Sus scrofa: one gene and its partner. The protein of the gene in region 1 interacts with the protein of each later gene in a biochemical or structural test. Links are inferred from orthologs where the notes say so. Each region holds a gene or a part of one and is shown in the gene's direction. Other genes may lie near its edges.

Evidence for each region.
Region 2: the proteins of FLT1 (region 1) and PGF are reported together in a solved structure, tested with the Homo sapiens proteins (2 studies listed by BioGRID and IntAct, with this or other methods). The link is inferred for Sus scrofa from reciprocal best matches to the Homo sapiens genes FLT1 and PGF.

What each region holds. Positions count from the first base shown.
Region 1 is NC_010453.5:5,739,678-5,743,486, reverse strand, and holds part of FLT1 (vascular endothelial growth factor receptor 1), read left to right. Parts: intron 1-3,204; coding exon 3,205-3,361; intron 3,362-3,455; coding exon 3,456-3,592; intron 3,593-3,809. UniProt on the Homo sapiens protein: Tyrosine-protein kinase that acts as a cell-surface receptor for VEGFA, VEGFB and PGF, and plays an essential role in the development of embryonic vasculature, the regulation of angiogenesis, cell survival, cell migration, macrophage function, chemotaxis, and cancer cell invasion.
Region 2 is NC_010449.5:98,160,202-98,164,110, reverse strand, and holds the start of PGF (placenta growth factor), read left to right. Parts: upstream 1-1,346; 5' UTR 1,347-1,720; coding exon 1,721-1,795; intron 1,796-2,969; coding exon 2,970-3,012; intron 3,013-3,909. UniProt on the Homo sapiens protein: Growth factor active in angiogenesis and endothelial cell growth, stimulating their proliferation and migration. It binds to the receptor FLT1/VEGFR-1. Isoform PlGF-2 binds NRP1/neuropilin-1 and NRP2/neuropilin-2 in a heparin-dependent manner.

The sequences.
Region 1 (3,809 bases):
CACTTACCCGCCAGGTCATCAAACGTCCCTCAAGCAGATCGTCTGTTTTTCTGTTTTAGGAACTTTCCCAAATTCCCCCAGGTAAACATTTGGTGGAGATAGAGTTTTCTCTGTTTTTCCACCCAGCTCTATAGTCATTAAAAGGAGAGAAGTATAAAATTGTTTTTCTGTTTTTTCCACTTTTCTTTTTTTGTTGCTCTTTTTTTTTTTTTTTTTTTTTTTTTTTTTGGTCTTTTCAGGGCCGCACCTGCAGGTATGGAGGTTCCCATGCTAGGACCCAGGAACTGGAGCTGCAGCTGCTGGCCTACACCACAGCCACAGCAAGGCCAGATCCTTAACCCACTGAGCGAGGCCAGGGATGGAACCTGAGTCCTCGCGGATGCTAGTCAGATGCGTTTCTGCTGAGCCACTATGGGAACTCCCTTTTTTTCACTTTTAAAAAATTAAAAGTGGAGTTGATTTACAGTGCTGTGCCAATTTCTGCCGCGCAGCAGGATGATTCAGTCATATATATATATATATTTACATTCTTTTTGCAGAGAAGCATAAAGTTCTAAGGTTTTTTTGGTTTATTACATATTTATTGAAAATGTTCTAACCTAGGAGTTCCCTGGTAGCCTAGTGGTTTAGGATCCAGCATTGTCATTGCTGTGTGGTGCGGATTCAGTCCCTGGCCCAGAAACTTCTGCATGCTTTGGGCACAGCCAAAAAAAAAAAAAAAAAAAAACAAACAAACAAAAAAAAACGACAACAGCAAAAACACCCAAAACTTAACCTATTACACGTGTATGAAGTTGCTATCTTTCCCTTCCATTTCTCTTACTGTCCCTTCTTTCCTAACGGGTTGTCCCCTCCTCTCCTTTCCCCTGCCTGCACTGGCGGAGCCCTGCTCAGCTGGCGAGAGCCTCCCTGTAGGTACTGCCTTTCAGGGCTGCCCATCTGTCTGCCCCCCTCTGACACATACAGCACCTGCCCCAGCTGATAAGCTACCTAGTCTGTTGCTGTTTTAGCTCCTGTTGGCTGGAAATCAAGTTCCTTTTTCAGTGGCTACAGCCAGTGGCAGGAATGCATAGGTGAGTAAGGGAAACACTGCAGAGGAGATTTCCATGTGTTTGTAAGTCGCACAGAGAAGTTGGCAGCCAGTCTGTCTTTGAGATTCAGCACATTGCTTTTGCTTTCACCTGTTTTTATAGTGTCATGGATTTCGATCCCTGGCTTGAAGTTTTCTGAGTTTTTCCTTTAATAGTTTGTCAAGTTAGAAGACAAGGTTCCCCACCCCCACCCCCACTGACTGCGGAGGGTTCCTAAGTTTACGGATAGAATCCTAATTTACTAAAACGACATGCATCCTTTGATTGCTTTCCATTCTCCATAGATAGGATGCAATTCATCTCAAACCCAAGTTGCACTCTGGCGATATGTACCAATGCAGACATACCCATGGGGGAATAGAAATCTCTGCCGTAGGACCATACATCCCTGTCTGCTTCCAGAAGCAGTAAACATAAATGATAAATGGATAGAGTGATGGATGCATGGCTGCACCCATGCACCTTTGGCTGCCCCTATAGCACATGCAAGTTCCCGGGCCAAGGATGGAATCTGAGCAGCAGCTGCAACCTGGACAGTCGCCCTGGTGACACTGGATCTTTTAACCCACTGCGGGCTAGGGATTGAACCCGAGCCTCTGCAGTGACCCAAGTGGCTGCACTCAGATTCTTAACTCACTGCCACAGCGGGAACTCCGAGGGGTGTGTGTATGTGTATACTTTTTTTTTTTTTTTTTTTTTTTTTTACTTTTTAGGGCCGTCCCTGTGGCATATGGAAGTTCCCAGGCTAGGGGTCAAATCGGAGCTGCAGCTGCTGGCTCACACCACAGCTATGGCAACATCCAAGCCATGACTGCAATCTCCACCACAGTTTATGGCAACGCCAAAACCCCAACCCATTGAGCAAGGCGAGGGATCAAACCCTCATCCTCATGGATACCAGTCTGATTCATTACCCCTGAGCCACAACGGAACTCCCTCCAAAGTGTACTTTTTAAAAGAAGATACAAAAGACTCGAAACTTCTTTATAGCAGTTGATGCTGTGAAGCTTGGTAATCTGTTGTGGGAAAGTGATCTGATTTTCCCCCCGCTTTTTCCAACTGGGGATAAACAATAGCAGTCATCAGACCACTGCCACTCAAACTGGCTGGCAGTCTGCCATCAGGGGAACTTGGCTGGGCCGCTCTAGGGGCAGTGACCCTTTACAAAGTCTAATCCCACCAGAGATGGTTTGAATTGAGTCCTTGGTACAGAGGAGAGGCATAGTCGGAGAATCAGATCGTGGATTCTTCTGTTTGGGGGTACTCCCAGGAATTGGGGGGCACTGCATTCGTAACTGTTTCTGGCCTCACATTCACTTTCGGCTCTCTTCCCTGTCAGCAGCCTTGGCTTCTGGAACTTTCCCTCCCAGGGGCAGGGTCGACACCCTCAGTCTTCCCCAGAGTGATAACGGCAGTAAGTGCCGAGTTAATGCCATGGACTGCAGAGGACCTAGAATTATGGTCCTTTTAAGACAGCAGCCTCTTTTTTTTTTTTTTTGCCCCCCCTGCCACAGCATATCTGCAGTTGCCACCTGAGCCGCAGCTGCATCAACACCGGATCCTTAACCCACTGTGCCAGGCCAGGGATCAAACCCGTATCCCAGCGCTCCCGAGATGCCGCCCATCTCACTGTGCCACAGCGGCAACTCCAAGACAGCTGCCTCTTTAACAAATCAGGCAAAATGGGAGGCGAATGTGTGGCTTGTTAAAAGCTCCTGGTGACGAGACCGTGAGGACGAAGTGGCAGCCCTAAGGGGAAAAACAGCAAAACATTGATTGGTTTCCTGAGCCAGTTCGTTACAAAGGGCCCAGAGCTCCGGGTTCCCACGAGGGCTCTGACGGGTGAGGAGGTCTCTCCTCTCCTCGGTGGCTGCAGCTTTCGGCCAAGGTTCTTAGCAGACGAGCATGTTGACTGCAATGCATCAGAGTCAACGTGGAGGTGGCTCCATGCAGAGCAAATTAACGAACCGACGATGACAGACTGAAGCTTCTTCCCGCACCCTTCTCATGTGCGGTAACAGCTACATTTTCAGAGCGTTAGTGAATAAGTAGGGAAACGCTTCTATCACAGGGCTAATACGACTCTGTGAAAATGCTTTTCTTCCTTTTCCAGTTTCCACCTGATACGCTGGACGGAAAGAGAATCACCTGGGACAGTAGGAGGGGTTTTATAATATCCAATGCAACATACAAAGAGATAGGGCTGCTGACATGTGAAACAACCATCAACGGACATTTGTACAAGACAAACTACCTCACGCTTCGACAAAGTAAGTGATCTTCCAGAAGCCGGAGTGCCCCTGGCTTTATCCAGTTCATGAAACGTCGATTTTTTTCTTAAATGTTACCTTGCTATGCTTGCAGCCAACACAATCACAGATGTCCGAATAAGCACGCCGAGCCCCGTCAGACTGCTGAGAGGTCACACTCTCGTCCTCAACTGCACGGCCACCACGCCCTTGAACACCAGAGTTCAGATGACCTGGAGTTACCCCGGGGAAGTGAGTGACCCTGTTGCTTCTGTAGGACAGTATTTTGTTTGAGCAAAGGCAGTGTCACTGCGTTTTCGAGGTGGGGGAAAAAATCAGAATATTCTGACTCCCGTGGTGGTTTGAGCCAATAAAGAAGCTTTGGGGTTGGTTTGGGTGCTTGTGAACGTGATACGCAAAGATACGGCCTTTTGATGTCTGGGGGCTTTGTTTTGAAGTTGTATAGGTT
Region 2 (3,909 bases), on another chromosome or scaffold:
TGTGAGCTGTAGGGACTGCCTCTCAGGCCTCCCTCCTCTCCCAGAGCCACCCACCAGCCCCAGGCCCAGGCCAACCCATGACCCGGAATCCTGCCAGGTTCTTGTAGCCAGAAAACTGTGGCGAGGGGGTGGTGATGGGGATGAATGACGCTCCAGGATCATGGAAGGCACACACGAATACACGGAGAGATGTGCAGGCACACACAGAAGCCGGCTGAGCTACTCACACACAAAGACACACACAAAGGCACAGGCAGGCATACAAACTCACCGGCCCACCGAAATGCACATTCAGACACACTTCCAAACACAGCAGAAAAAAGCGGACACATACATATGTAATCACACAGGCATACAGAGATACCAAGACCCTCACACAGGCGACATTTGCACACACAGCAGAGGCACACAGACACTCAGACAACACAGAGGCGGACAGCACGCATGGATCGCCACGGCTACACATCAATGCCCTCACACATGCACAGAGACGCGCGTTCGCGCACCCAGACCCCTGTCGGCAGACCCCGCAGCCTTGGAGCACTTCCTCCTCCTCCTGGGACCAGGAGGAAATGCTGCTCTAGGCCACACTCCAACCCACATGTGGCAGGCTTGCAGGCAGGGCCTGGGAAACTGGCTTCCCACAAGAGGAAATGGTGCCGAAGCCTCCGCCAGGTGCCCGCAGCTGGGCTGCGGGCGGTCCAAGTGCACGGCTAGGAGGATGGTGGATGGGCTGAAGAGACAGCCACATGCCTTGGGTTTTGTCTCCATTAGTCACACACACGTGCGCACACACACACACACACTTTTCAAGAGTACACATAAATGTGCACCAGGCAGAGGCCCTCTCAGAACGTCAGTTTCTTCATCTGTAAAATAGGGTTTCTAATTCTTTCGCCCTTGAGGATTATGGGGATGGCATAAGGTGGCACGGGAAGGGCCAGACCAAATCGCTGCTGCCCTGGGGAGGCTGGGTCTGCAGTCTCCGCAGAATCCGCTAACGTCAGGAGCCCTGTTGGCAGGCGTGGGCTCCACACCTGGCTGCCCCCCATGCAAGGTGGCCGGCCTGGAAGCGCGGGAGCGGAGCCGCGGAGCCCTCTCCGCGGCCCGCACTGGGTGCTGCCCGGGTCAGCCGGCGCCCCGGGCAGCAGGCTCCGGCAGCCAGGAGGTCCGCGTCGGGAGCGCCCCTTCCACGCACTGCGGGCCGGCCGCGCTCAGGTTCTCCCCGCCCGGCGGCAGCCCGCAGGCTCCGCTCGGCGCTCCGTTCGGCGGCTCCCAGGGACTTGGGTCTGGGCGGTGGGCGGGGCGGGCCTGCAGCCCCGCCCCATTCGCGGCCCCTGAAACCCAGCCGCCGACAAGCTTCAGTCCCAGAAGGGAGCTGCTGTCTGAGGAGGAAACTGCATCTTCGCGGGCCAGCTACGAGAGGATCTGGGGTCGCGCTGGGCGCCCGACGGACCCTCCCCAGGGACTCGCCTGCCCCACACCGCCCGGCCTTGCCCGGCGCTCCGCGTCAGGTTCCCCAGCCGCAGCCTTACCTACGGGCTCCAGAATCCTCAGGGCTTCCAGAGGATGCTCAGCCCACCGACGGGGACCTCGGGGCAGCAGTGAGGGGGCACCCAGCCCCCCATTCAGCTCCTGTCCTCTTGGGCCGGGGGCCTCCCCGGGGGGAAGAGCATGGTGGTTTTCCCTTGGAGCCCCCTGGCTTGGTACGTCTGAGCAGATGCCTGCCATGAGGCTCTTCACTTGCTTCCTGCAGCTTCTGGCTGGGCTGGCACTGCCGGCTGTGCCCCCCCAGGTAAGACCCCCATCCCCAGCCTGGCTTCCCTGATCTTCCCACTCCCAGTACTGGGAACAGGGGACTCTGAAATCGCAGACCCTCTCCCGGGAGCGGCACCTCCAGGGATGTCCATACCCTTCCTAGGAGCCAGGCTGGACCGTGTCCCCTGGGAAGAGACCTCAGGCTGCGCTGTCTCAGACTCCAGCTTTGGGGTCTGTCTTGGCGGGGGCAGGGAAGCCACAGGGAAGGGAGGGAGGTTTCCTGTCTGGCCCCTGGAGCCCTGGTGGCTTTGCTAAAAGCATCTCTCCACTAATCCCAGGCGGGTCCCTGGCCTTGTGGTCAGGGTCGAGGCCCCATGACCAGGCAGGCGCCCCCAGGACCTCTGACCTGGCCTGATGGAGAGGAAGCTGACTGAAGAGGCCAGTGGTGGGAAAGCTGGGCCCTGCCCCACCAGGGCTCTGGGTTGAGCCCAGGACTCCTGGGTGGGCTGGGGGCGAGACAAGGGTCCCACTGTGCCCTCTTTCCCGGGTGGGCAGCCGGAGGTCCTGAGTGCAGGGCCTGGGGAAGTGAGCAGGGCCCTTTTCCCAGGAGCTGGGTGAGTCTGGCCATGAGCCAGCTTGGGCAGTGAAATCCTGACAAAGCCAATGAGCTCCCTTCCCACTGTGATGTCCTGCTGCCCTGGGAGTCCCCAGCCCCAGCCCAGAAGTGGGTGGGCCGGGCTGTCCCTCGGGGGCGGAAGAGCCCTACCACCGCCTCCCGCCTGCCTGCTGCAGGGCTGGTCAGAGGTGTAACTTTACCGGCACACTGGCTCATGGCGCCACCGGCTCCAGCGCCTCGGCTCCCACCAGCTGATCACCGCCCCCTGGGCTCTGGCACCCAGCCAAGGCAGGCTGCACAGGGCCCAGCAGGGCTGCCTGGGGGCGGGGTAGAAGGGAGACCCCAAAGAATCCCGAGATCTTTGGGACACAGCAGGCAAAGTGTCTCCAAAAGCTTCCGGCCTCCTAGCCTTTGCAGATGAGGAAACTGAGGCCAGAGACAGCGGTAGGACCCACCCGGAGGAGCCAGCTCCGAGATGGGATGGAGAGTGGGGGCAGCGGGTGGGAAGCGGCACAGAGGAGCCTCTATGCTCTTCCACTGGGCCCCAGTGTGCAGCCAAGGTGGTCCCCTCATCTCTGCACCTTTCTGTCCGCAGCAGTGGGCCTTGTCTGCTGGGAACAGCTCATCGGAGGTGGAAGGTAAGCCTGCTGGGGTGGAAGGTGCATGGGGGGGAGTGGTTGGTACACAAGCTCACAGGGCCCTCATCCCCCAGGCCTCTGCAGAGGCTTGGAAAGGATGGCATGAAGGGTGCGTGCAGCCTGATGTCAAGCTGGGGAAAGTCGGCAAGCTGGCTGATGCCCTGGAACTCAGACAAAGCTGGTCCCACATTGAGACCCAGAGGCTTAGAGAGGTATAGTCCTGGGCCAGGGTCACCGGGCACAGCAGGGCTGGGCCTCATGTACCCAGGGCTCGTCAGGTTGGCTCAGAGCCCCTTCCCAGCATGTAATGTGAGGGGACAGATGTGATACTGGAGAGCAGCGCAGGCAGTGAGTGCCAAGGACCAGACTGGGGGTCCAGGAGATGTGGATGCAGTGGGCAAGCAGTCAAGAGGAGCAGGGAGGGGCCAGAGAACCTTCCCAGCAACCCAGCCCTGGAGGAGCTGCAGGGATCTGACCCGGCCTTTCCATTGATTACAAACAGACATAATGAGTCGCACCCTCCCTCGCCCCCCCACCCCGCGGTTGCATCAAGAGGGAATCTTCAAAGGGTGAGACATTTGCCAAAGAGACAAAAGTGCAGAAGGCAGGAGGCCCGTGCCAGGCCCCCCTGCCTTGCTCCTCCCTCCCTGCCTCTACGAGACGTGCAGCCAGGCCACACACCACTTCCCACGGAAGAAAGGGAGCATGTAGGGACGTGCGCACGCACACTCGTGGTAGCCTCTGCGAGCTGGGAACACCCTTCCCCTGCTGCCTGGTAGCCAGCCTCTCCAGGCTGAGGCCCAGGCCCCTTGGGCCCTGAGAAGGTGGGGACAGCAGCCATCCTTGACTTCACTGACACCCTCTCTCTCCCTCTGCTGGGCCTTCTGGGACGGGCAC